Macaca mulatta: one gene and its partners. The protein of the gene in region 1 interacts with the protein of each later gene in a biochemical or structural test. Links are inferred from orthologs where the notes say so. Each region holds a gene or a part of one and is shown in the gene's direction. Other genes may lie near its edges.

Region 1 (2,743 bases):
TGTGCTGCCTCTCCCTCTGGTATGCCCCCTCATCCTGCAACGCCTGCTCCTTGCCCCGGGTCCCAACCCCACCACCCACCACCCCACCTTAGGCAGATGCCCACCCCTGCCTCACCTCCAGCCTCCTTTCCATGACCCAGCATCCATTCACTCCAGTCTCTGACTCTCGCCCAGGTCCCCCCAGCCCATTCCTCTGCTATAGGGCCAGGTGGTCCCAAGGGCCACAGTCCCGCTCACACATCCTCTCCCACCAGGCATGCCCACGTGCCGGTGCCCCACGGGCTTCACGGGCCCCAAATGCACCCAGCAGGTGTGTGCAGGCTACTGTGCCAACAACAGCACCTGCACTGTCAACCAGGGCAACCAGCCCCAGTGCCGATGCCTACCCGGCTTCCTGGGCGACCGCTGCCAGTACCGTGAGTGAGCCTTCCCTGGGCCCCAGGGCAGGCAGGAGGGTGACGGGTGATGGGGAACCCCAGAGCATGGGGTGATGTTCAACCTGTGCCTGGGACGCACAGGGTCAAGTTCAGGAAAAGAGGCCTTAAGCAGCTGAGCCAGACCCAAGCTGCTGGTGCTTCCCCACAAAGGTGCTGGCACACTTCCCCCGAGGCAGTGCACCCCCCGGCACCAAGATCATGCAAACAGAAAAGCTCTGTTCAACCTTTGGAGAGCCCTCATGAGGGTGGGGCTTGAGGCACTTCTCTCCCTCCCCAACCACAGGGCAGTGCTCTGGCTACTGTGAGAACTTTGGCACATGCCAGATGGCCGCTGATGGCTCCCGACAATGTCGCTGCACTGCCTACTTTGAGGGACTGAGGTGTGAGGTGAACAAGTGCAGCCGCTGTCTCGAAGGGGCCTGTGTGGTCAACAAGCAGAGTGGGGATGTCACCTGCAAGTGAGTGGAGCCCTCCTCCACAGTTCCACTCAGCCCAGCCCCTGCCCTGTCCTAGCCCTGCCCTGCCCCTTCCTCAGCATCCCAGACACACCTCTGCCAGCCCCAGCACCAGCCTCTGATTCCTTCCTGCAGCTGCACGGACGGCCGGGTGGCCCCCAGCTGTCTGACCTGCATCGGCCACTGCAGCAATGGCGGCTCCTGCACCATGAACAGCAAAATGATGCCTGAGTGCCAGTGAGTTGGGCCCGGGCTTCACCCAGGCATAGATTATCCCTCCCTTCCCCAGATCTGAGCAGGAAGATCGTCAGGCGTCAGCGCCCACCCCCCGCCACCGCGTTTCCCTGGCAGCAGTGGCTATGGAGGTTATGTCTACTCATCTGTGTCCCTCCTTTCTGCAGGTGCCCACCCCACATGACAGGGCCCCGGTGTGAGGAGCACGTCTTCAGCCAGCAGCAGCCAGGACGTAGGTGGCAGGGGGTGGGGCAGGCAGGGCCACCGGGACCTAGAGCAGGGGGACCGTGTGCCTCCTGCTTCCCTGAGCCTTGGTGACTCAGTGTCCCACCTCTTCCCTCCAGATATAGCCTCCATCCTAATCCCTCTGCTCTTGCTGCTGCTGGTGCTTCTGGTGGCCGGAGTGGTATTCTGGTATAAGCGGCGAGTCCAAGGGTGAGTCACAGGGAATCTGGAACATTCTGGCCATTATTTTGCCATCCTAACCTTCCCCCCAATAATCTCTGCCTCCTTATATTCCTGCCTCTCCCCAGGGCTAAGGGCTTCCAGCACCAGCGGATGACCAACGGGGCCATGAATGTGGAGATTGGGAACCCCACCTACAAGATGTACGAAGGCGGAGAGCCTGATGACGTGGGAGGCCTACTGGACGCCGACTTTGCCCTGGACCCTGACAAGGTGGGCTGGAAGGTGGGCAGGGTGGAGGGCCAAGAGGCTGTGGGTGGCCTAACCAAAGGTGTTGGGTTAGGTGAGGGACAGAGGTGGGGGTGGGGTGACCTGGGCCACAGGCCCAGCCCCTAAGCCCTACCTGAACCCTCTGTCACCCTGCAGCCCACCAACTTCACCAACCCCGTGTATGCCACACTCTACATGGGGGGCCACGGCAGTCGCCACTCCCTGGCCAGCACGGACGAGAAGCGAGAACTCCTGGGCCGGGGCCCTGAGGACGAGATAGGGGACCCCTTGGCATAGGGCCCTGCCCCGTCGCACTTCCCCCAGAAAGCCTCCTGCCCCCTGCCAGTGAAGTCCTTCAGTGAGCCCCTCCCCAGCCAGCCCTTCCCCGGCCTCGCCGGATGTATAAATGTAAAAATGAAGGAATTACGTTTTATATGTGAGCGAGCAAGCCAGCAAGCGAGCACAGTATTATTTCTCCATCCCCTCCCTGCCTGCTCCTCGGCACCCCCATGCTGCCTTCAGGGAGGCAGGCAGGGAGGGCTTGGGGCTGCACTTCCTACCCTCCCACCAGAACACACCCCACCGGGAGAGCTGGTGGTGCAGCCTCCCCCTCCCTGTATAAGACACTTTGCCAAGGCTCTCCCTTCTCGACCCTACCCCTGCTTGCCCGCTCCCACAGCTCCCGGAGGGCTAATTCTGGGGAAGGAGAGTTCTTTGCTGCCCCTGTCTGGAAGACGTGGCTCTGGGTGAGGTAGGCAGGAAAGGATGGAGTGTTTTAGTTCTTGGGGGAGGCCACCCCAAAGCCCAGCCCTGACTCCAGGGGCACCTATGAGATGGCCATGCTGAATCCCCCTCCCAGACAGGCCCTTCCCATCTCCAGGGCCCCCACTGAGGTTCCCAGGGCTGGAGACTTCCTCTGGTAAACATTCCCCCAGCCTCCCC
Region 2 (4,204 bases), on another chromosome or scaffold:
AGCAAACAGGCCCGGCCTGGCACTGGGGGTTCCTTCCCGGGACCAGGAGTCCAGCCTCCCCTGACTCGCAGAATCCTCTGATCCCACCCACTCCAGTTCTCGATGTGTGACTTTGCCATTCATCTCGCTGCTGAACCACGGGTTTCTCCTCTGAAACATCTGGGATTTATAACAGGGCTGTTAGGAAAAAGACAGCATCTGAGCGCTCACTGCGGCCTGTCCATTGCTAGCCCTAACAGGACCACTGTGCCAAGGCTGTCCTCCGTGCTCCATACACGTTAGCTTGTCACCAAACATATCCGTGTCACTGCTTTCCCAGTCTGATGAGCAAAGGAACCCGATGCTCAGAGAGGACAAGTCATTTGCCCAAGGTCACACAGCTGGCAACTGGCAGAGTCAGGATTCAAGCCCTGGCAGTTTGACTCCAGAATCCTAACCTTAACCCAGAAGCACAGCTTCAAGACCCTGGAAACCACAATGCCTGTGGCAGCCAGGGGGAGGTGCTGGAATCTCATTTTACACGTGGGGAGGGGTGGGTCCCCTGTGCTCAAGGTCACAACCAAAGAGGAAGCTATGATTAAAACCCAGGTCCCACTCGCAAAGCCTAGACTTTTAGCAGATGCACCACACTGTTCCCACCCCCCTCCCATCCCACTTCTGTCCAGTCGCCTAGCACCACTTTCTTTTCTTTTTTCTTTTTCTTTTTTTGTTTTTCTTTTTAGAAAGCATCACTCTTGCTCAGGCTGGAGTGCAGTGGCGAGACTTCGGCTCACTGTAACTTCCACCTCCCGGGTTCAAGTGATTCTCCTGCCTCAGCCTCCCAAGTAGCTAGGATTACATGCGCCCGCCACCACGCCTGGCTAATTTTTGTATTTTTAGTAGTGATGGGGTTTCACCATGTTGGCCAGGCCGGTCTCAAACTCCTGACCTTAAGTGTTCCGCCCACCGTGGCCTCCCAAAGTGCTGGGATTACAGGCGTGAGCTACCGCGCCCAGCCCCTCCCATCCCACTTCTGTCCAGCCCCCTATCCCTACTTTCTTTCTGGGATCCAGGAGTCCAGATCCCCAGCCCCCTCTCCAGATTGCATTCATCCAGGCACAGGAAAGGACAGGGTCAGGGAAGGAGGACTCTGGGCGGCAGCCTGCACATTCCCCTTCGACGCTTGGCCCCCAGAATGGAGGAGGGTGTCTGGATTACTGGGCGAGGTGTCCTCACTTCCTGGGGACTGTGGGGGGTGGTCAAAAGGCCTCTATGCCCCACCTCCTCCCTCTGCCCTGCTGTGCCTGGGGCAGGGGGAGAACAGCCCACCTCGTGACTGGGGGCTGGCCCAGCCCGCCCTATCCCTGGAGGAGGGGGCGGGACAGGGGGAGCCCTATAATTGGACAAGTCTGGGATCCTTGAGTCCTACTCAGCCCCAGCGGAGGTGAAGGACGTTCTTCCCCAGGAGCCGGTGAGAAGCGCAGTCGGGGGCACGGGGATGAGCTCAGGGGCCTCTAGAAAGATGTAGCTGGGACCTCGGGAAGCCCTGGCCTCCAGGTAGTCTCAGGAGAGCTACTCGAGGTCGGGCTTGGGGATAGGAGGAGCGGGGGTGAGGCCAGCAGCAGGGGACTGGACCTGGTAAGGGCTGGGCAGCAGAGACGACCCGACCCGCTAGAAGGTGGGGTGGGCAGAGCATGTGGACTAGGAGCTAAGCCACAGCAGGACCCCCACGAGTTGTCACTGTCATTTATCGAGCACCTACTGGGTGTCCCCAGTGTCCTCAGATCTCCATAACAGGGAAGCCAGGGGCAGCGACACGGTAGCTAGCCGTCGATTGGAGAACTTTAAAATGAGGACTGAATTAGCTCATAAATGGAAAACGGCGCTTAAATGTGAGGTTAGAGCTTAGAATGTGAAGGGAGAATGAGGAATGCGAGACTGGGACTGAGATGGAACCGGCGGTGGGGAGGGGGAGGGGGTGTGGAATTTGAACCCCGGGAGAGAAAGATGGAATTTTGACTATGGAGGCCGACCTGGGGATGGGGAAATAAGAGAAGACCAGGAGGGAGTTAAATAGGGAATGGGTTGGGGGCGGCTTGGTAACTGTTTGTGCTAGGATTAGGCTGTTGCAGATAATGGAACTAGGCTTGGAAGGCTAACCTGGGGTGGGGCCGGGTTGGGGTCGGGCTGGGAGTGGGAGGAGTCCTTACTGGCGGTTGATTGACTGTTTCTCCCTCCCCAGACTGGCCAATCACAGGCAGGAAGATGAAGGTTCTGTGGGCTGCGTTGCTGGTCACATTCCTGGCAGGTATGGGGGCGGGGCTTGCTCGGTTTCCCTGCTCCTCCCCCTCTCATCCTCACCTCAACCTCCTGGCCCCATTCAGGCAGACCTCGGGCCCCCTCTTCTTCTGCTGGTCTGTCTTCCCCTTGAGGGGAAAGCCCAGGTCTGAGGCTTCTATGCTGCTTTCTGGCTCAGAACAGCGATTTGACGCTCTGTGAGCCTCGGTTTCCTGCCCCCGCTTTTTTTTTTTTTTTTTTTTTTTTTGAGCCAGAGTCTCACTCTGTCGCCCCGGCTGGAGTGCAGTGGCACAATCTCAGCTCACTGCAAGCTCCGCCTCCCGGGTTCACGCTATTCTCCCGCCTCAGCCTCCCGAGTAGCTGGGACTACAGGCGCCCGCCACCATGCCCGGCTAATTTTTTGTACTTTGAGTAGAGAAGGGGTTTCACTGTATTATCCAGGATGGTCTCTATCTCCTGACCTCGTGATCTGCCCGCCTTGGCCTCCCAAAGTGCTGGAATTACAGGCGTGAGCCACCGCGCCCGGCCTCCCCATCCTTAATATAGGAGTTAGAAGTTTTTGTTTTTGTTTTGTTTTGAGATGAAGTCCCTCTGTCGCCCAGGCTGGAGTGCGGTGGCTCCCAGGCTGCAGTTCAGTGGCAGGATCTCAGCTCACTGCAAGCTCCCCCTCCCAGGTTCATGCCATTCTCCTGCCTCAGCCTCCGGAGTAGCTGGGACTACAGGAACATGCCACCACACCTGACTAACTTTTTTTGTATTTTTAGTAGAGACGGGGTTTCACCATGTTGGCCAGGCTGGTCTGGAACTCCTGACCTCAGGTGATCTGCCTGCTTCAACCTCCCAAAGTGCTGGGATTACAGGCATGGGCCACCGCGCCCAGCTGGGAGTTAAGAGGCTTCTAATGCATTGCATTAGAATACCAGACACGGGACAGCTGTGATCTTTATTCTCCATCACCCCACACAGCCCTGCCTGGGACACACAAGGACACTCAATACATGCTTTTCCGCTAGGCACGGTGGCTCACCCCTGTAATCCCAGCATTTTGGGAGGCCAAGGTGGGAGGATCACTTGAGCCCAGGAGTTCAACACCAGACTCGGCAACATAGTGAGACTCTGTCTCTACTAAAAATACAAAAATTAGCCAGGCCTGGTGCCACACACCTGTGGTCCCAGCTACTCAGGAGGCTGAGGCAGGAGGATTGCTTGAGCCCAGAAGGTCAAGGTTGCAGTGAACCATGTTCAGGCCACTGCAATCCAGCCTGGGTGACAGAGCAAGACCCTGTCTGTAAATAAATAACGCTTTTCAAGTGATTAAACAGACTCCCCCCTCACCCTGCCCACCATGGCTCCAAAGCAGCATTTGTGGAGCACCTTCTGTGTGCCCCTAGGTACTAGGTGCCTGGACGGGGTCAGAAGGAACCTGAACCACCTTCAACTTGTTCCACACAGGATGCCAGGCCAAGGTGGAGCAACCGGTGGAGCCAGAGACGGAACCCGAGCTTCGCCAGCAGGCTGAGGGGCAGAGCGGCCAGCCCTGGGAGCTGGCACTGGGTCGCTTTTGGGATTACCTGCGCTGGGTGCAGACACTGTCTGAGCAGGTGCAGGAGGAGCTGCTCAGCCCCCAGGTCACCCAGGAACTGACGTGAGTGTCCCCATCCCGGCCCTTGACCCTTCTGGTGGGCGGCTATACCTCCCCAGGTCCAGGTTTCATTCTGCCCCTGCCACTAAGTCTTGGGAGTCCTGGGTCTCTGCTGGTTCTAGCTTCCTCTTCCCATTTCTGACTCCTGGCTTTAGCTCTCTGGAATTCTCTCTCTCAGTTCTGTTTCTCCCTCTTCCCTTCTGACTCAGCCTCTCACACTCGTCCTGGCTCTGTCTCTGTCCTTCACTAGCTCTTTTATATAGAGACAGAGAGATGGGGTCTCAC
Region 3 (3,500 bases), on another chromosome or scaffold:
TTCCCCACCAGTTGGCTGGCCCATGGACATCTTATCCTCGCCTTGACATACCAATCTCTTTCATGAAAATACTAATAGTACTTATTCTTTAGTGTGACATAGGATGAATCTTTTTGTTGAACATTGGGAGAGTGATGGAATTGAGCTAGGAAGATGTTGGAAGGGAAGGTGCATAGGATAGAAGGGAACTGAGGTCTGGAGTTCTGACTTAGCTGCAAGAGACTCACTTTTTCAGATGATCCCCTGAAAAGTACCTCTGAAAAGTATCTTGGGGTTGGAAAGAAGCTAATACTCTGACCGAGGCAAATTATTTTAACCAGGTAATTGGAAGTAAAAAATAAGCTGTATTTATTAGACTGACCATAAACGATAAAAGTTCTTTTCTTATCTTTTTTGCTGACCAGGCAAATGAACATGGGCAAACGGGATCACCTCCCTGGGGCTCAGGCTTCTCACCTGTTAAAGGAGGGGTTGGACCATGTGTCTCTGATCCCTTCCACTGTAATGTTTCCTGAGTCTGTCATTGCTTGGCTAACCTTCAGTGATAAAGTGATACAGGTATTTAGAGTAAGGAATAATGGGAAAATATATACCCATATACTATATGTACAAACATATACACATATACATATATATATGCATGCATATATGCATATACACATATACATATATACATATATATGTATATGCTTGTACATATAGTATATGGTTATATATGCAAAGACATATACAAACATATGCATATATTATATACATAATAATACTATTTCAGATGCATGGAAAAACTGTCATTTCAATCTGTTATTAAAGGAAAAGAAAATCTATACTGGATTTGTTTATGGAACAGTGAAACAAAAGAAAAAGAGAAAATTTTAACAATAGAGAATATTTTCTCTCTCTTACCCGTAACACAAAATTAAAATAAGTAGAATTAGTTTTCAGTATTTCCTATATTTTGAAAGCAATACTTATATTTATTTTGTTTCTTTTAGTTTTGTTTTTTGGCGGAATTATAAGAACCTTTGTTTTCTTTTTCTCTTCCAAAGGAGGAGTTTAACTACCCTCTGGACAATGTCCATCTCTTGGGATACAGCCTCGGAGCCCATGCTGCTGGCATTGCAGGAAGTCTGACCAATAAGAAAGTCAACAGAATTACTGGTAAGAAAGAAGTTTCACTGGTCTTGTAAGAGTTGAGAAGACTGTCATTCTGAGAATCAGAACGAATTTTGTTAAATACCCACGTGTTCTTCCACGTGTGTGGTGTTCTTCCAGGAGACATGCCCAGCACTTCATTACCTCATTGTAGGGCTCTTTATTAGGGATAAGAAAAATTACAGATGCTCTGACGGGCTTACTATCCACTGGCAACAGCACAGAAATAAAGCAGAATTACACACAATGCCTGCAGATTTCTCTGGGAAGCCTGTTTCCCTCCACTCTCAGCTCTGTGTTTTCGTAGTGTAATGCACATCAGTACGAGGGGAAAAGAAAAAGGACCAATCCCAGAGGACACTTAGAAAGAAGACAGGCATCTAGGCAAAGGTGTGGCTTACACACAGAGAGAAAGAACCCACCGCTGTTTATACATCTTCTCAACATATTCAAAATAATCTACAAAAGGAAATCCAGCCATCCTGAGTGAAAATTGCTGTATAAGGCTAAGAGACTCAAATTCATTGTAGAAAGAGCCAAGCCTCCTTTTATGTCTAAGTAAAGATCCAGTGACTACAGGAGATAAGAATCTAAATAGCTGCCAGTGCATTCAAATGATGATCAGTGACATACGAATATCACACGAATGGAAATTTACAAATTTGTGGACCTGTTTTTTCCCTTTTAAGGCCTTGATCCAGCTGGACCTAACTTTGAGTATGCAGAGGCCCCGAGTCGCCTTTCTCCTGATGATGCAGATTTTGTAGACGTCTTACACACATTCACCAGAGGGTCCCCTGGCCGAAGCATTGGAATCCAGAAACCAGTTGGGCATGTTGACATTTACCCGAATGGAGGTACTTTTCAGCCAGGATGTAACATTGGAGAAGCTATTCGCGTGATTGCAGAGAGAGGCCTTGGAGGTAAATATTATTTAGAAGTGAATTAAATGTGACTCTTATCCTTAACCCTTATTGACCCAAAGTCCTACCCAGTAGCTCCAAAGTATGTAGTTTTCAAATACACATTTGGCCAAATTATGTTTCTGAAGAATTCTGCAATGTTCAGCAAGACCACCTTATAGCCAGGCAAACAGACATTTTATCTTTTATTTACTATATTGTAGACTACACTGAGCAGTGCACTTACAGTAGCAAGAGAAAAAGGTGAGATTTAGACAGGAAAACTCCACTGACCTCAATAATGGCATCATAAAATGCTATCTGGCCACAAGTTGTCATACCTTGAATGCAATTGCAAAGCCAATGGAAGGATTGTAGATGTTATTGGAATGGAAGGAGATGTTAATTAGTATAAATCTTCCAAAATTTTCAGAACATAATGTTGGCTTAATGTTTTACTTTAATAATGTTAGCTTGTGTTAAATTTATGATTTTTTCTTTTTTCTTTTTCTTTTTTTTTTTTTTGAGACAGAGTCTTGTTCTATTGCCCAAGTTGGGGTGCAGTGACACAATCAGAGTTCAGTGTGGCCTTGAACTTCTAGGCTCAAGCGATCCTCCTGCCATAGACTCTCAAGTATCTGGAACACACCCCCATACCTGGCTAATGTTTTTGTTTTTTGTAAAAACAGGGGACTTGCAATATTGCCCAGGCTGGTCTCAAACTCCTGGCCTCAAGTGATCCTCCTGCCTCCAGCCTCCCAAAGTTCTGGGATTACAGCTGTGAGCCGCCATGTCCAGCTTATGATTTATTTTTAAGGGCCCTTTGCATACTTTATGGACATTGGGACCTACCTAGGATATTCTCATTATTTTTGTGCACATTATAGAACTTACAGCATAATGTTACTATTTTCAATTGTCCTAAAAACATACAAGGAAGTCATTCTTATGGCATTGCTGATTATTTCTATGGTTCATTTGATGTAAAAGAGTGTTAGTAGGGGCAGAATCCTCAATTATACATAATATCAATGATAAAATACAATTCATTTAACAATTAACCTCTTAAGAAGTGGTTTCTAGAAATACAAAAAAAAAAAAAATTACGATTGGGCCATAACCCCACTGTAAGTTGAGAAGCATGTGTATATATATATGATGGTTTGACTTAAAACTTTTGGACATTATGATGGGTTTTGGGGGAATTAAGTGCATTTCAACTTACAGTATTTTTGACTTAGGAAAAATATATTGTAAGGCAAGGGGCATGTATATGTTTCTAGAAGCACCTAGAAGTGTTAGACACTTTCAATATAAGAGAATGATGTGACAAACAAGGAAATCAACCTCCACCTTGGAGGCTTATTACAGCTTCATAAACATACACATAAATATAAGAAGTATGAAAGTCGAAAATTCCCTGTGAACTTGCAACTTTCACTGTCT
Region 4 (4,140 bases), on another chromosome or scaffold:
TCTGGAGGTAACAACCCTAAAAGCTTCATTAAATTTCCGTGGGTGAGTGTCTGAAGCTAAGAGGTAAAAAAAAAAAAAAAAAAAACAAAAAAACAAAAAACAAAAAAAAAAAAACCCAAAACAGAAAAGCACAAATCCATCGCATTAGCTTTGTTATTACACAGCTGGAAAACAGAAGTGTAGCCCCCAAAAGAGTAAGGGTAAACTTTTTAAGGAAGGGTTGCTTGCCTCTTGCTTTCCTTTTCTGCACCTGGGTCCAGCAGGGTGGTTTGTGTGCAGTGCGAATCTACACATTATCGACTTGATTTGATTCTCCAGGCTCCTCTCTCCTCCTGCGTTCAGGCCTCTGGAGACAGGTATGCCACACAACAGGGATTCCTGGAATTGAATCCAGTCTCAGGGTGGAAGAATGTTCAGAAGGACCCAATCTTTTCTGCGACTTGGTGTTTCTAGGATCTTTGTAAGCTAGGACCCTAAGCAAGGAGCAACCGACTGCGTACTCGCTGGAGCCGTCTCCCGCACAGCTTCGGATCAGAGGATTGTTTACTCCCAGTCATTCTAAGAGCCGAGTAAGGGAGTTGGGGGGAGTAAGCCGGAGTTAACCGCGGTCTGCATACTCTCAGGGGCACGGGTCTTTCCTAGGACGGAAACGTGACACATGCTAGCCTTTTCCCTCCCAACTTGCCCAACTTTGCCTGGGAAGCCTCAGTCAAAACAGGAGCCACCGAGCCTGCGCTGGCGGCTGGGAGCGAGCGCCCCCTCCTGCCAAGGGGCGTGGGGGCAACATGCCCTCACAGAGACTCCCCTCGTGGTTTCGCCCATAATGGCACTCCGTATATTTGGGTATGCGTATGTTTTCGAGGCTTGGATAAAAGGGTAGACCCTAGAGAAAAATGAGAGGGGCCAGGCGGAGCTGCGGCCAGTGGTGGTGATGGGGGAGAAAACACTGGCTACTTTGTGACAACCCCCTCCCTTACCCTCTTCACGCTGGCGAGGCTGGGGCGGGGACCCCTCGCTCTCGGCTTGTCTCTCCCGCTTCCACGCCAGGATGGAGAGAGCGCGCAGGGGCTCCAGAGGCGCGACTGCAAGCCGCGGCGCCCCCGCTCGCTCGCTCGCTCGTTCTTCCACCTCCTCGTCGCCACCGCGGCTCGGCTAAGCTCTCGGAGCGCGCTCAGGCTGCGCAGAGAGCGCCCCGGAGGGAGCTGGAGCCGCGAGGCCGGGGCGAGGAGCGCACTACCAGGCGGCGGCGGCGGCCGGGGAGCTAGTAGGTGAGCGGCGCCGCTGGGCGCCGGGCGGGTGCGGGGGCCGGCGGGGCGGGGGCCGCGGGAGGAGGCGGGTCCGCGCGGGTGGCGGTCTCCTCCCCCTACTCTGACGCGGGGCCCGTGGCTCCCGGGGAGGATGGACCCAGCTCGGCGCTCGCCCGGGCTTCCCCGGGCTGTAGAGCGCGCCTGAGTGCCGCCGCCCGCCGGGCATGGGTAGCCGCTTCCTGGGCGGCTGCGGCAGCGGAGGAGGATGCTCTGGGCTAGGCGAGGTGAGGCGCGGCGGGGGCGCGCGGCAACCCTTGAGTTCAGCGCGTCAGGTGCCCCGCGACGACGCGGCGCCGGGGAGCCAGCTTCGCTGGGGCCCCCGGCGCGGAGGAGGGCTCCTGGGACGCGCCACTCAGCAGTTTGGCTAGGGGTGGTGCGAGGATGGCGACTGCAGCAGTTTTTCGCCTTCTCCCTCCACTTGCTGGGAGGAAAGGGGTGACTTCTCTTTCTCTCTCCTGCCACCCACCCCTGCGCCCCTGTCTCCCTACTTCTGACCACGCGCGATCCTGTCTCCAGACTTGTCCACCCTTGACACGCGTCTCTCTCCAAGACCCCCTGCGCCCTCTTTCCTCCTGCGGTCTTGGCTCTGTCGGTCCTCGAGCCTGCCTTCTCCCGCTGTCCTGTGCTCCCGAAACTCCCTCCCTGCTTCTCTGGTGGCCAGACCCTCTTCCTCACTCGGCCGAACCCCGTTCTCACTTCCCTACTCCTCGGTAGCTAGGTTCGGCTTCGACCTCTCGAAAAACCGACTCTATCCCAGTAATCCCAGCCCTTTCGCGGGCACCGTGAGAACTGGATCCCGCGTTCCTCGGACCCCTGCCTTTCTTCGGATCTTCTGTGGACTCTGTTCTTTGCCGCTCGACCCCCTCCATCCACTCCCCAGCACCCCCCTGCCCACACGCCCAGTTAGTCCCCTCCCCAGCCCGCCTCTCTTCCTTCTCTCTGCTCCAGACGCTCTGACTTGGATGCAGAGAGCTCAGTTTTTTTTTTTTTCCTACCAGGGAAACTTTAAATCTCTGTGGTTCGGCTCGTAAGGCAGGCACACAAGAGGGTGTCAACCGCCGAGAGAACCCAGAGGCAGGGAGTCCGAGATGGGGGGAGGTCGTGTCGCGGCGTCTGAAAGGGGCCACTGGGTGAGTGTACAAAGTAAATTTCAAAACCAGGGTGACTGCTGCAGTCAGGACTCTGCCTCCGCTGGCTGCGTCCCGGGGAGTATTATTGTGACCCCTGGTGGGAGGGCGCATCTTTTCTCTGCACTTTTTAAGGCGCTTTTTTTCTCTGTTTTTGTTTTTTGGTGGTGCTGGTGGGCCTCATGGGGGCCAGTGGGCACAAGGGAACGCTGCCTGGAGAGGCGGACGCCACTTGGCTGCTCCCAGACCTGCCAGACTGTGTACGTTTCACTCCGTGTGAACTACCCCCAACCCCCAACTGCATCGCACAAGTCCTCATTGTTGGGGGTCTGCTGGGGCACTTCCGCTTAGGCTGGGAGAGTCTGAAGGAATGGCGTGGGGGTGGGGAGGCCGGGGGCGTTTGGCGACCGCTCGGCTCTCGGCGGCGGGCGGAGTGGAGAGCGCCGCGGCGCGGGCTTCTGTGCGCTCCGGTGTGTGTGTGTCGCGAGGCTGGGGTGCGCGCCCGCGTGGGTCGGTGTCTGCGTGTGCGTTTGGATGTCGGCGCACGCCTATGTTTAACTCCGTTAGAAAGAGGGGCGAGTGTAGAGCTTGCGGTAGCGAGAGCGCCTTTCTCCGCCTGGGAGCTGGACGGGGGCGAGCCCGCCTGCGAGCTGGATGCTCCAGTGCAGCTCCTAGCCAGCCAACAGGGACCGGGGGTGAGAATCCGCGCCGTCGTTTCCACCTCCTTCCTGCTCCCCTCCTGCTGGCCAGTTAAATACACTTTCAGTGTTGATAGTTTTGAATAAAGGCCGTGTGGAGATTCCACTACACTTTACAACACTTAACGTTTTCAAGTAATCATATAAATTAAAGGTGGCTTACGTTTTAGAACCCCCTAATTATCCAGTTCACGTTGGTACATTTATGTGCCAATTATAGGTCTTTGGGAAATCCATAAAATTATAAACCATCCCCACCCCTTGAATTAGCACCCATTGTTTTTGTGATCTCTGTGATGAGTGATTCTGGATGGCACCGGAACTGCGCAGGCACGAAGATAGATGGGGGTTCGGAGATGTCAGAAGGAGTAGGGCCCCCCGCCACCCCCGTCTCTTTCACTCCCTATCCTGACAAGGCTTGGTGACAATTCTGGGAACCTAAAGTGATCAAATATTTTCTTGATTTCCTATTGAGAAGGGCGACCTAATCAAAGCTGTATAAAAGTCAACTTCTAAGCAATCAGAAATTGTCTGCTGATGTCCTTGATTGAAACCCCAGCATTCAAATGGAGTATTGAAGAACTCGCAGAAAGGTCTTTTGAAGCGCTATTGTTCTTTTCCGTACACAGAGTCTCTCTTAAAGGTTTAGGAAGTTCAAAATGCAGTGGTTTGAAAGGACTGACTTTGTAACTATTTGGCAACGCTGGGAGGATCCGCAGGGATGAGAAAAGAGGCCGAGGTGGGAAGTGCAAATATGTTGTGACCATCTTCTTGGGAACGGTGCTGCTATCAAGTAGGAATTCGGTTCTACCCATCGAGTTGGCAATTAAGTCTCTTCTAAAGCAGATTTAGAAGATGATTTTTAGTAGTTTTTATTTTTTAGTGGTTTGCTTAAGGTCTGAATAGGCATATCTGAAACGTTTAATCATGTTCATTGTAGTCAACGATAAAATCTGAATAAAAATTACTTATTGTTGATGAAGCTCATCTCACAAGCTGTTTCACAGT
Region 5 (3,500 bases), on another chromosome or scaffold:
AGGTGTCGGGAGGGGAGCTGGCCTTGTAGAACAGGGCGTCCACTTCCCTGAAAGGCAGGTGGAGTTTGTGTGGGGCACCATGAGGCTCAGTAACATAACCAAAGTGTTTTCTGACACTGGCAGAGGAGAGGCCAAAGCGAAGCCTGGAGGAAATGGGGACTGATTCATACATTCATTCAACAAATATTAATAGAGGTCCTGCTCTGTGCCAAGACTACACTAGGCACTAGGCATACTGTATTTAACCAAAAAGGCAAAATCCTCACCAACACGGAGATTATAAATTGTAGTCTTGAGGAGACAATCATTAGACAAAGTAAATAACAAATTGGCTTGTCAGATGGTGACAGGCGCTGGGGAAGAGTTAGGGATTGCTGAGGAGGGACTGAGGTAGCCTGTGGTTTTAAAATGGGTGTTCAGGGAAGGCTTCACTGAGGCTGTGACATTTGGTCAAAGATCTGAAAGGCTGGGCCGGGCGCAGTGGTGCACGCGTGTAATCCCAGCACTTTGGGAGGCCGAGGTGGGCAGATCATGAGGTCAGAGTTTGAGATCAGCCTGACCAACATGGTGAAACCCCATCTCTACTGAAAATACCAAATTAGCTGGGCGTTGTGGTCGGCACCTGTAATCACAGCTACTCAGGAGGCTGAGGCAGGAGAATCACTTGAACCCGGGAGGCAGAGGTTGCAGTGAGCTGAGATCCTGCCATTGCACTCCAGCCTGGGTGACAAAAGCAAGACTCCATCTCAAAAACAAAAACAAACAAACAAAAACCCCAAAAAGCAAAGATCTGAAAGGCTGAAGGGCCCAGGGGAAAGGCTCCCATAGTGATCCAGGACAGGGCATTATAAGGGCTGGCAGAGGGACCGGTGCCCAAGGGGAGCTACTTCATGGAAATTGTCACCAAGATGTAGCTTCATCTGGCCAGCGGAGCCGTGAATTGCAACCGAGCACCCTCCCTCTGTGACCTGCCTTCCTGTGCCATGCCCTGTAGGGCTGGTTCTGCAGCTTATTTCCTCCTGTCCTCACAGTCCCTAGTATGGGGTGGGCTTGGGGGCTGGTTGAGCTGAGTGACTTATGGGAATAGGAACACAGCCGGAGGAGCTTACAGTGGTGGGGCTTGGGATGGAAGTGCAGCAGGAGAGGGGCAGTCAGTGATCAGTGTCCAAAACACACGAGCCAGTCCCACTCTAGTGGTGTTCCTGGCACAGTAAGCCCCGGGTGGATGAGCTGGGGGGTGGGGAGGCACAGAGAGCCATTGTGTGGAGGCCCTGCTGGTGGGATCGAGGGCGGAGCAGGCACCAGCTGTGCCATCCCAGAAAGCTCAGGGCAGGGGATATAGGGATGGGTTGAGCCTCAGACCTGGGCCTGGCCTGTGATGGGGACGATAGTGCTGGGACAGAAGATGAGCCCAGTCATTCTCATAGGATAGAGAGCCATGGGTGCTAGCCTGCTTAGTGCAGGGAGATGAGGAGGCACAGGGCGTAGCCCTGGGGCAGAAGCAGTGATGCTGCTGTTCTGGACCAGAGGCTCAACAGCATCTCCCTTCCCCACCCCACAGGAGCTGCCAAGGCCATGTCTGTTCCATCATCACTGAGCCAGTCGGCCATTAATGCCAACAGCCACGGAGGCCCCACACTGAGCCTACCCCTGCCTCTGCACGCTGCCCATAACCAGCTACTCAACGCCAAGCTGCAGGCCACAGCTGTGGGACCCAAGGACCTGCGTAGCGCCATGGGGGAGGGTGGTGGGCCTGAACCAGGCCCTGCCAATGCCAAGTGGCTAAAAGAGGGCCAGAACCAACTCCGGCGGGCCGCCACGGCCCACCGTGACCAGAACCGCAATGTGACCTTGACCTTGGCGGAGGAGGCCAGCCAGGAGCCTGAGATGGCACCCTTGGGCCCCAAAGGCCTGATACACCTGTACTCTGAGCTGGAGCTCTCAGCCCACAACGCGGCCAACCGAGGCCTACGAGGACCTGGCCTGATCATCAGCACTCAAGAGCAGGGGCCAGATGAGGGAGAGGAGAAGGCGGCAGGGGAGGCTGAGGAGGAGGAGGAGGAGGATGATGATGAAGAGGAGGAGGAGGACTTATCTTCTCCCCCAGGGCTGCCTGAGACCCTGGAGAGTGTGGAGGCCCCTCCCAGGCCCCAAGCCCTTACAGATGGCCCCCGGGAACACAGCAAGAGTGCCAGCCTGCTGTTTGGCATGCGGAACAGTGCAGCCAGTGACGAGGACTCAAGCTGGGCTACCTTATCCCAGGGCAGCCCCTCCTATGGCTCCCCAGAGGACACAGGTACCTTGTGGAGCTTGACATGGGCATGTGGGAGGGTGTGAGGGCAGAGGTTAGGCCTCTCATATAGAGGCCAGTGCCAGCCTGATGTGAGCTGAAAGCCCATGTCCTGAGGCCACAGCAGGCCATGTCCAGGCTTTCTCGTTCAGAGAGTGCTTGGACATTCTGGTAGATCTGACCATCATGCATGCCTGGATGGATAGATCTGTTCATTATGCATGCCACCATGGTTGGTAAGTGGACTAGTTTGTTTACTGGGCACTGACTAGGTAACTGGCCCTCTACTCAGCATTTTCAGGCTTTATCCTCACAGTAAAGCTGTGAGGTAAATACTATGATTATCCCCATATTACAGATAACAAAAAAGAGACCCAGAGAGGTTTAGTAGCTTTCTCAAGACCACAGACAGGCTGAGATTACAATAGAGCTGAGATCTAGACCAGGTCTGAGTCCAGGTCTGAGCTCTTGGCCCTGTGTTACACTGCCACCACAGCACAGAGCACAGTGCACTTAGGTGCACTTGGGACAGTCTGCCCCGTTTTAACAGGTCACGTCTGTGGGGAGCTGCTGTCAGGAGTAGGATATTGACTAAAAGTTAGAAAAGAAAACGCTTTGGGTAGGGGGAGGAGAGTAGATACTAGGATTCCAGGGCTTAATAATTAAATATGTCCCATTTAAATCAGCTGAGTCTCCACATTTTCTAATGTCATGTAGAGAATACAGGAAAAGCTGAGGAACAAAGGATGGAGATAATGGGCTATAGTCACAACCCTGGAGTTCTGTAGATGGGGGTCTAAGAAAGATTAGGAAAGATCCCCATCTTCACCAGGCAGCGAACACCATACCCATACCCCAAACTGTGCAATCTTTGTAGAGAACATGCAGTTCAAATGAGCCTAGGGCTGCACACCATCCCCGTTCGAAAAACTCATTCTGGACATTTTCAAACATATACAAAAGTAGAGAGAAAAGAATAATGAGCCTGATTTACCCATGACCCAGTTTTACCAATTATCAATACATAACTAATCTTGCTACCTACATGCTGTCTTCCATTCCTAGGCCCAGCGTAGGTTATTCTGAAGCAAATACTTTTATTTATAAATGTTTACAGCTGGGTGCAGTGGCTCACACCTGTAACCCAGCATATTGGAAGGCTAAAATGGTCAGATTGCTTAAGCCCAAGAGTTCAGGACCAACCTGGGCA
Region 6 (3,500 bases), on another chromosome or scaffold:
CCAAGAATTGCCCCGCAGATCCTAAGGTGCCTTCAGCCTTTTCAAACAAAAACCTCCTTCCCTCCTCTCCGTCTGCTTTATGTGTGCGCTCAGTGGCACACAACAGATGTGAGAGGGCTTGGAACAATTCCCCATTGCAGCCCTCTAGCTTAGATCAGCTCGGTACCTTTCAAGCGTTGTTTCTGATGGAATGAAACAGAAATCTTTACCTGAAGGAGCTGTGTTGTTTCAACCTTTCCTTTTCCTTTTCCTTTTCCTTCAGGTGCGCACCCTGTGGCATGACCCTCGTCACATAGGCTGGAAAGATTTCACCGCCTACAGATGGCGTCTCAGCCACAGGCCAAAGACGGGTTTCATTAGGTATGATCGTACTGATTCAATTTCACTTAAAGTCACACTAATGGACAAAAAGACAAAAAGTATGAAATAGCATTGTCACTAAACAAGACTTTTTTCCCCTGCAGAGTGGTGATGTATGAAGGGAAGAAAATCATGGCTGACTCAGGACCCATCTATGATAAAACCTATGCTGGTGGTAGACTAGGGTTGTTTGTCTTCTCTCAAGAAATGGTGTTCTTCTCCGACCTGAAATACGAATGTAGAGGTAAGAGCAACATCACCATGAATGTACACCGGACATCTCCATTGCAGACTAATACCAAGGATGACAGTTATGGGGAAGTCCATTGTAAAGACTGCTTTGGAGACAGGGTTATTTCTATCTTGCTTGTGAGGACACAAGGACAAAAATGGAATAATGCCTAGGCACTGTGGCTTATGAGTTCCCGAGTCCTTAGTTACAATATTAGTTTGCTTAGCAGTTTCTGTGCTGCTCATACACAGTGCAAAGGTAGGCTGCAGAAAAGCTCCTATACAATTTGGACTTCATTAATAATACTGTTCTTTACAATTATGTATTTATATATCTTACTGCTTGGTGTTTTATTCATGCCATCAGAGCACAAGTTAGAATTCCCAACTTTTCCCTGTATATAAAGAAGGGAGAGGAATGTTGCTTTCATATTGGCATGTTAAATTAAGGTTTACTATTAAACTTAGCTTTTTTTTGCTTCATTCTTTTTTACTCAGTGATTACTTAAGCTTGCTGAGTCCAACACTGGCTCTACCACAAAATAAGCACTTAATATATATTTACTGGGCCAAGGCCAGATACTGAAAAGATCAATCAGAGTAGAGAAAGATGGTTGATTTTACACACACACACAAAAATCTAAATTATTAATGTAATTTTTGAGTCTGAATTTTTAAAATAAGACTCCCTAAACTTTTAACATTGAAAGCCTTGGAAAGCATAATATACGTTCTGGAAGGTTCATGCCATGTTGGTCACCTAGCATCGATGTCAGCTCACAAAATTAAATGCTAATATGCTTGAACAATCTTAAATTAGGCTTTTGTCATTAGAAAAGTAGAGCTATTCCTATGTGGTTTAACTTATTAACTGATACTAAGATGTCTGTGCTTTTATGAATTAGTTTTCATTTGTATATTTATTTATATTTGTTTATTTTAACAGATCCCTAATCATCAAACTGTTGATTGAAAGACTGATGATAAACCAATGCTGGTATTGCACCTTCTGGAACTATGGGCTTGAGAAAACCTCCAGGATCACTTCTCCTTGCCTTCCTTTTTTTCTCTGCTTTCATCAGTGTGGACTCCTAGAACATGCGACCTGCCTCAAGAAAATGCAGTTTTCGAAAACAGACTCAGCGTGCAGCCTCTAATGAATAAGACATCTTCCAAGCATACAAACAATTGCTTTGGTTTCCTTTTGAAAAAGCATCTACTTGCTTCCGTTGGGAAGGTGCCATTCCACTCTGCCTGTGTCACAGAGCAGGGTGCTATTGTGAGGCCATCTCTGAGCAGTGGACTCAAAAGCATTTTCAGGCATGTCAGAGAAGGGAGGACTCACTAGACTTAGCAAACAAAACCACCCTGACATCCTCCTTCAGGAACACGGGGAGCAGAGGCCAAAGCACTAAGGGGAGGGCGCATACCTGAGACGATTGTATGAAGAAAATATGGAGGAACTGTTACATGTTCGGTACTAAGTCATTTTCAGGGGATTGAAAGACTATTGCTGGATTTCATGATGCTGACTGGTGTTAGCTGATTAACCCATGTAAATAGACACTTAAATAGAAGCAGGAAAGGGAGAGAAAGACTGGCTTCTGGACTTCCTCCCTGATCCCCACCCCTTACTTGTCACCTGCAGTGGCCAGAATTAGGGAATCCGAATCAAACCAGTGTAAGGCAGTGCTGGCTGCCATTGCCTGGTCACATTGAAATTGGTGTTTTCATTCTGGAAGTAGCTTATGCAGATGTAGCAGGAAAATAGGAAAATCTACCATCTCAGTGAGCACCAGCTGCCTCCCAAAGGAGGGGCAGCCACGCTTGTATTTTAATGGTTACAAAGGCACAAAATTATTGTCAACCTAACTAAAACATTCCTTTTCTCTTTTTTCCTGAATTATCATGGAGTTTTCTAATTCTCTCTTTTGGAGTGTAGATTTTTTTAAAATGCTTTACGATGTAAAATATTTATTTTTTACTTATTCTGGAAGATCTGGCTGAAGGATTATTCAAGGAACAGGAAGAAGCGTAAAGACTATCCATGTCATCTTTGTTGAGAGTCTTCGTGACTGTAAGATTGTAAATACAGATTATTTATTAACTCTGTTCTGCCTGGAATTTAGGCTTCATATGGAAAGTGTTTGACAGCAAGTAGTTGACATTTATCAGCAAATCTCTTGCAAGAACAGCACAAGGAAAATCAGCCTAATGAGCTGCTCTGCCCCTTGTGCCCAGAGTGGATGTTCTGGGATTCTTTTTTCTTTGTTTTATCTTTTCAAGTGGAATTAGTTGGTTATCCATTTGCAAATGTTTTAAATTGCAAAGAAAGCCATGAGGTCTTCAATCCTGTTTTACCCCATCCCTTGTGCCTATTTCCAGGGAGAAGGAAAGCATATACACTTTTTTCTTTGATTTTTCCAAAAGAGAAAAAAATGACAAAGGTGAAACTTACATACAAATATTACCTCATTTGTTGTGTGACTGAGTAAAGAATTTTTGGATCAAGCAGAAAGAGTTTAAGTGTCTAACAAACTTAAAGCTACTGTAGTACCTAAAAAGTCAATGTTGTACATAGTATAAAAACTCTGCAGAGAAGTATTCCCAATAAGGAAATAGCATTGAAATGTTAAATACAATTTCTGAAAGTTACGTGGTTTTTTTTCTATCATCTTGTATACCATTGCTTTATTTTTATAAATTATTTTCTCATTGCCATTGGAATAGAGATCTCAGATTGTGTAGATATGCTATTTAAATAATTTATCAGGAAATACTGCCTGTAGCGTTACTATTTCTATTTTTATATAATGTTTGCACACTGAATTGAAGAATTGTTGGTTTTTTTCCTTTTTTTTTTGATTTTTTTTTTTTTTTTTTTTTGCTTTTGACCTCCCCCTATTTTT
Region 7 (4,004 bases), on another chromosome or scaffold:
AACTCAGCACTCATGGTTTGACACATATGAGTATATTTAGGATCAGAATGTATGAAATCTGGCCTCTCCTGGATAGTCGGTCATCCCGCAATTTCCTCTGCCAAACTTCTCTTCCCTCCCTGCATTCTTTCTTTCACCTCTCTCTAATTTTTAAAAGGTCTGGTCTCAGCCAGACATGAACCAATGATGATAGATGCTCCTGCTGAGCCCCATGATGTGCCAGGGACCTGACATGCATGGCTTCTCTCTGATCCTCACGTGACCTGCAGATGCAAAAGCCAGAGCTCAGCATAGTTGAAAACCTTGACTGAGGTCATACCCCAGTTACTGGCACAGCCAGATTTAAACCTAAGACTTTCCCCTACACCACAGGGCTTTTATTTCTTAGTCATCTGAAAAGGTGTCAGCAAGGGAAATGGCTTGTCTATTTCCAGGGGCATTTTACAAGCAAACACTGAAAGGCTTCTGTGGGCTTAAGGGCTGATGGCTTTGATCGAATTTCAGGCATGTTGGCCCCAAGGCCCTGTGTATATTCCCTGGGCCCACTCGAGGGGATGCTGGCGTCAGAAACTCCCCAGAGGCCACCTACTGCAGCCCTGCACTTTACAAGGAAGAGAGAGATTCTCCCTAAAATTACAGAGCTGGGCCTGAGATGCCTACTGGAGCAAATCCCCATGGGGGCACCTCCCACCGCAGGTGAGCCAGAGGCTAGTCCTGCCTTCTCAGTGGCTAGCCCCCTAAGCTCCCGCCACCACACAAAGTGTTCCAATCTTAACCTCTCATGTCCTGAGAGGCCAGAGCTACAGCCACAGATTCCAGAAGACACCCCACTCCCAGCCCCAGCCTGGTGCCTTTAGAATTATAAACACTTCTTGTCATCACAGGGTCCTGAAAGTCCCTTTTAAGTCTTGGACACTAAGACTCTAAAGGAAGATGAATCTTAAGATCCCGTCCCACTTCCAAATTCCTGTGATTCGATGACATCAGGGCTGTGAATAATCTGCCTGGCCCGAAGCCAGGATGGGCTGTGCTGCTTCCACCGTGAACTTCCTCCCCCTGCTTTATAAAAACAGGCCCGCCCCAGCTCCCTCATGGCCCTGTCCACTGAGCATCCTCCCGCCACACAGAAACCCGCCCAGCCGGGGCCACCGACCCCACCCCCTGCCTGGAAACTTAAAGGAGGCTGGAGCTGTTCAGGGAGCTCAAAGCTGAGATCCTACAGGAGTCCAGGGCTAGAGAGAAAACCTCTGCGAGGAAAGGCAAGGAGCAAGCCGCGGTAGGTCAGGTTTCTGTGTTGGGGTCTGTCTCCTCTTCTGTCTCTTAAAAGTCTTTCCAGCAAGCTGAGCCAGTGAAGGAATGCTTTAACCAACGGACCAACTTTGTAATTCAGGCAACTAGAGGATCCGCTAGAATCCACTCCGGAGGGGAGATGTCTGTTTGCATTTGCATGTGATTGGGATAGGCTGGAGTGTTTTGGAGGTGAGAGGGAGTCAGGGGAAGGGAGACTAGGGAGTTTGCATTCATTGGAGGAGCCTCTGCTGGCAGAGTAAGGGGGAAGGTGAAAAGAACGATACAGAAATGCCCCAAATAGGCTGTGGGAGCACCTCAAGATGAGCAGGCAATAAAAGGAAAATCGGCTGCCTTGGGACACGTGGCTGTGACAGCTGGGAGGGCCCTCTGGGGTCCCCCAGTTTCCTCCCTCCCCCGATGAACCCCCAGGAAGGAACTGAGGCTGTGGATGGAGCAGAGGGGCCTTACTTCCAGAGCACTATTCGCTAGGTGCTGGGAGAGGGAAGCAGGTGGCTTTCGCGCCCCACATTACCCCGTGGGGTAGAGAAATGCCTCTGATCTCCTCCCTAGGTGCCACCCCCACAAGTCTCCACAGGTCAGTTTGGCCCTCTGGCTTTTTGCCCAGGGTGCATCAGTCAAGCGTGCAGTCCTCCTTAAAGGACATTTTAATTACAGGGGAAAAAACTAACATCAATGTCTTTTATTCCTAAAGCACTCTGCAGAAAGCATGTGGGGTTCTCTAGATTTTCACTGTTATTATCTTTATTTTCTTAACCTCACAGGGAGGGAGAGAGGAAGGGAGGGAGGGAAGAGGAAAACATGCCGAGGTCCCAGGTAACTAATGACAAACTCAAGCTCAAAGAAGTGTGGTAACAAGGATGCATTTGGCGGCCAATTGGGAATAATATGGTGGTCTCCTGTAGCTCCTTGATGACAGAAAAAATGTCGTGTGTGTGTGTATGTGTGTGCATTGCAATCCCAGGAAGCGGTCCTGCAAATACCATTGTCAGGTGGAGTTCCCTCAAAGGTGACTTCCTAGCAGTAGTACTTGCTGTGGCAAGAACACTCATTCTGGGATCTAGAATCAATCCACGACGGTCAGCTTGAGCTGCTGGGTGCGTGCTTCCTGTGCAGGCAGAGTCGGACTCCAGCACTGGCAGGGACACCGTGAGTATTGAGATATGAATAGCTCCATCCTGCCCACCCATTTATTCCACCTAAAATGTTCTCAAAGACACCAGCCTCCAAGCTCTGGATCAAATGATAAAGCCCAAGATCAAAATCTCAGGAGCAAATGAAAGCTGCCCTGTCTCCAAAGTGCTCCTTCTCTGCCCAACTCCCCAAGACCAGCTCGGTTTATTTCACGATGGCTTGCATCGGATTCTCCCAGTGTCTGTGGCTCCCCCTGCTTCATCACAGACCTGGGACAGTCCAGGCAGCCAGGGAGTAGCTGGGAATAGCAGTTCCCCTTTGTTGGTTTTTGAGTTCACTGAGGCTTTGATTTCCCCCAGGGCCTGACATTGCCGAGCAGAGTCAGTGGCCAGTAGATTTCAAAGGATTTCAACAAACAGCCCAGGCATTCCTTTGTCAACCCAAAAGTAACTGAGACAGGTCTGTCAATTTAGAAAGTTTATTTTGCCAGTGTTAAGAACACACCTGTGACACAGCCTCCAGAGGTCCTGAGGACGTGTATCCAAGGTGGCCAAGGTGTGGCTTGGTTTCATACATTTCAGGGAGACATGAGACATCAATCAATGCATGTAAAGTGTGCACCGGTTCGGTCTGGAAAGGCAGGACAACTGGAAGTAGGAGCTTCCAGGTCATAGGTAGAGAAGAAAAGATATCATTCTTCTGCGTCTTTGTCAGCCTTTCATTGAATACACAATTTACATGTGAGGGGGGGCAGAGGAAGAGTCACTTATGCCTTAGTTGGCTCAGTGAATCTACTTTTTTTTTTTCCCGAGACGGAGTTTCACTCTTCTTGCCCAGGCTAGAGTGCAATGGCGTAATCCTGGCTAGTGCAACCTCCACTTCCCAGGTTTAAGTGATTCTCCTGCCTCAGCCTCCTGAGTAGCTGGGATTACAGGCGCCTGCCACCACACCCGGCTAATTTTTGTGTTTTTAGTAGAGACAGGGTTTCACCATGTTGGCCAGACTGGTCTTGAACTCCTGACCTCAGGTGATCCACCCACCTCGGCCTCCTGAAGTGCTGGGATTACAGGCATGAGCCACCATGCCTGGCCTGAATCTTCATTTTTACAAAAACAATAGGGCAGAGGAAGCAATCAGATATGTGTTTGTCTCAGGTGAGCAGAGGGATGACTTTGAGTTCTGTCCTTTGTCCTGCACCCATTTGCATTGCCAAGGTGAAGTTCAGCAGAACTGTTTTAGCGTACAGATCTTGAAGTCCACAAGGAGTTTCCTTGTGGGTAAATTGTGAGGGAGGTATGTAGCTTTTTATCTTTGTAGCTGTCTTATGTAGGAATAAAATGGGAGGCAGGTTTGCCTCATGCAGTTCCCAGCTTGGCTTTTCCCTTTGGCGTAGTGATTTGGGGGTCTTGAGATTTATTTTCCTTTCATACCTTGGTAGTGTCACTTGAAGCCACCATTACCATCTAAGGCTTTTCTTTCTTTCTTTCTTTCTTTCTTTCTTTCTTTCTTTCTTTCTTTCTTTCTTTCTTTCTTTTTTGTTTGTTTTTCTTTTTCTTCTTTTT

What was found.
Region 2: the proteins of LRP1 (region 1) and APOE form a complex in vitro, tested with the Homo sapiens proteins (2 studies listed by IntAct, with this or other methods). The link is inferred for Macaca mulatta from reciprocal best matches to the Homo sapiens genes LRP1 and APOE.
Region 3: the proteins of LRP1 (region 1) and LPL form a complex in vitro, tested with the Homo sapiens proteins (3 studies listed by BioGRID). The link is inferred for Macaca mulatta from reciprocal best matches to the Homo sapiens genes LRP1 and LPL.
Region 4: the proteins of LRP1 (region 1) and DAB1 form a complex in vitro, tested with the Homo sapiens proteins (2 studies listed by BioGRID). The link is inferred for Macaca mulatta from reciprocal best matches to the Homo sapiens genes LRP1 and DAB1.
Region 5: the proteins of LRP1 (region 1) and APBB1 form a complex in vitro, tested with the Homo sapiens proteins (2 studies listed by BioGRID and IntAct, with this or other methods). The link is inferred for Macaca mulatta from reciprocal best matches to the Homo sapiens genes LRP1 and APBB1.
Region 6: the proteins of LRP1 (region 1) and THBS1 form a complex in vitro, tested with the Homo sapiens proteins (3 studies listed by BioGRID). The link is inferred for Macaca mulatta from reciprocal best matches to the Homo sapiens genes LRP1 and THBS1.
Region 7: the proteins of LRP1 (region 1) and PLAT form a complex in vitro, tested with the Homo sapiens proteins (2 studies listed by BioGRID). The link is inferred for Macaca mulatta from reciprocal best matches to the Homo sapiens genes LRP1 and PLAT.

Annotation. Positions count from the first base shown.
Region 1 is NC_133416.1:64,370,455-64,373,197, forward strand, and holds the end of LRP1 (prolow-density lipoprotein receptor-related protein 1), read left to right. Parts: coding exon 1-19; intron 20-254; coding exon 255-416; intron 417-720; coding exon 721-895; intron 896-1,027; coding exon 1,028-1,129; intron 1,130-1,293; coding exon 1,294-1,358; intron 1,359-1,470; coding exon 1,471-1,561; intron 1,562-1,659; coding exon 1,660-1,804; intron 1,805-1,957; coding exon 1,958-2,098; 3' UTR 2,099-2,243; downstream 2,244-2,743. UniProt on the Homo sapiens protein: Endocytic receptor involved in endocytosis and in phagocytosis of apoptotic cells. Required for early embryonic development. Involved in cellular lipid homeostasis.
Region 2 is NC_133424.1:57,410,730-57,414,933, forward strand, and holds the start of APOE (apolipoprotein E), read left to right. Parts: upstream 1-1,404; 5' UTR 1,405-1,657; intron 1,658-2,221; 5' UTR 2,222-2,244; coding exon 2,245-2,287; intron 2,288-3,729; coding exon 3,730-3,922; intron 3,923-4,204. UniProt on the Homo sapiens protein: APOE is an apolipoprotein, a protein associating with lipid particles, that mainly functions in lipoprotein-mediated lipid transport between organs via the plasma and interstitial fluids.
Region 3 is NC_133413.1:21,588,916-21,592,415, forward strand, and holds part of LPL (lipoprotein lipase), read left to right. Parts: intron 1-1,046; coding exon 1,047-1,158; intron 1,159-1,841; coding exon 1,842-2,075; intron 2,076-3,500. UniProt on the Homo sapiens protein: Key enzyme in triglyceride metabolism.
Region 4 is NC_133406.1:183,204,722-183,208,861, forward strand, and holds the start of DAB1 (disabled homolog 1), read left to right. Parts: upstream 1-1,340; 5' UTR 1,341-1,531; intron 1,532-1,905; exon of another isoform or gene 1,906-2,437; intron 2,438-4,140. UniProt on the Homo sapiens protein: Signaling adapter of the reelin-mediated signaling pathway, which regulates the migration and differentiation of postmitotic neurons during brain development.
Region 5 is NC_133419.1:59,372,656-59,376,155, forward strand, and holds part of APBB1 (amyloid beta precursor protein binding family B member 1), read left to right. Parts: intron 1-1,561; 5' UTR 1,562-1,575; coding exon 1,576-2,296; intron 2,297-3,500. UniProt on the Homo sapiens protein: Transcription coregulator that can have both coactivator and corepressor functions. Adapter protein that forms a transcriptionally active complex with the gamma-secretase-derived amyloid precursor protein (APP) intracellular domain.
Region 6 is NC_133412.1:16,894,129-16,897,628, forward strand, and holds part of THBS1 (thrombospondin-1), read left to right. Parts: intron 1-262; coding exon 263-360; intron 361-464; coding exon 465-604; intron 605-1,537; coding exon 1,538-1,545; 3' UTR 1,546-3,500. UniProt on the Homo sapiens protein: Adhesive glycoprotein that mediates cell-to-cell and cell-to-matrix interactions.
Region 7 is NC_133413.1:44,285,477-44,289,480, reverse strand, and holds the start of PLAT (tissue-type plasminogen activator), read left to right. Parts: upstream 1-1,204; 5' UTR 1,205-1,276; intron 1,277-2,261; exon of another isoform or gene 2,262-2,457; intron 2,458-4,004. UniProt on the Homo sapiens protein: Converts the abundant, but inactive, zymogen plasminogen to plasmin by hydrolyzing a single Arg-Val bond in plasminogen.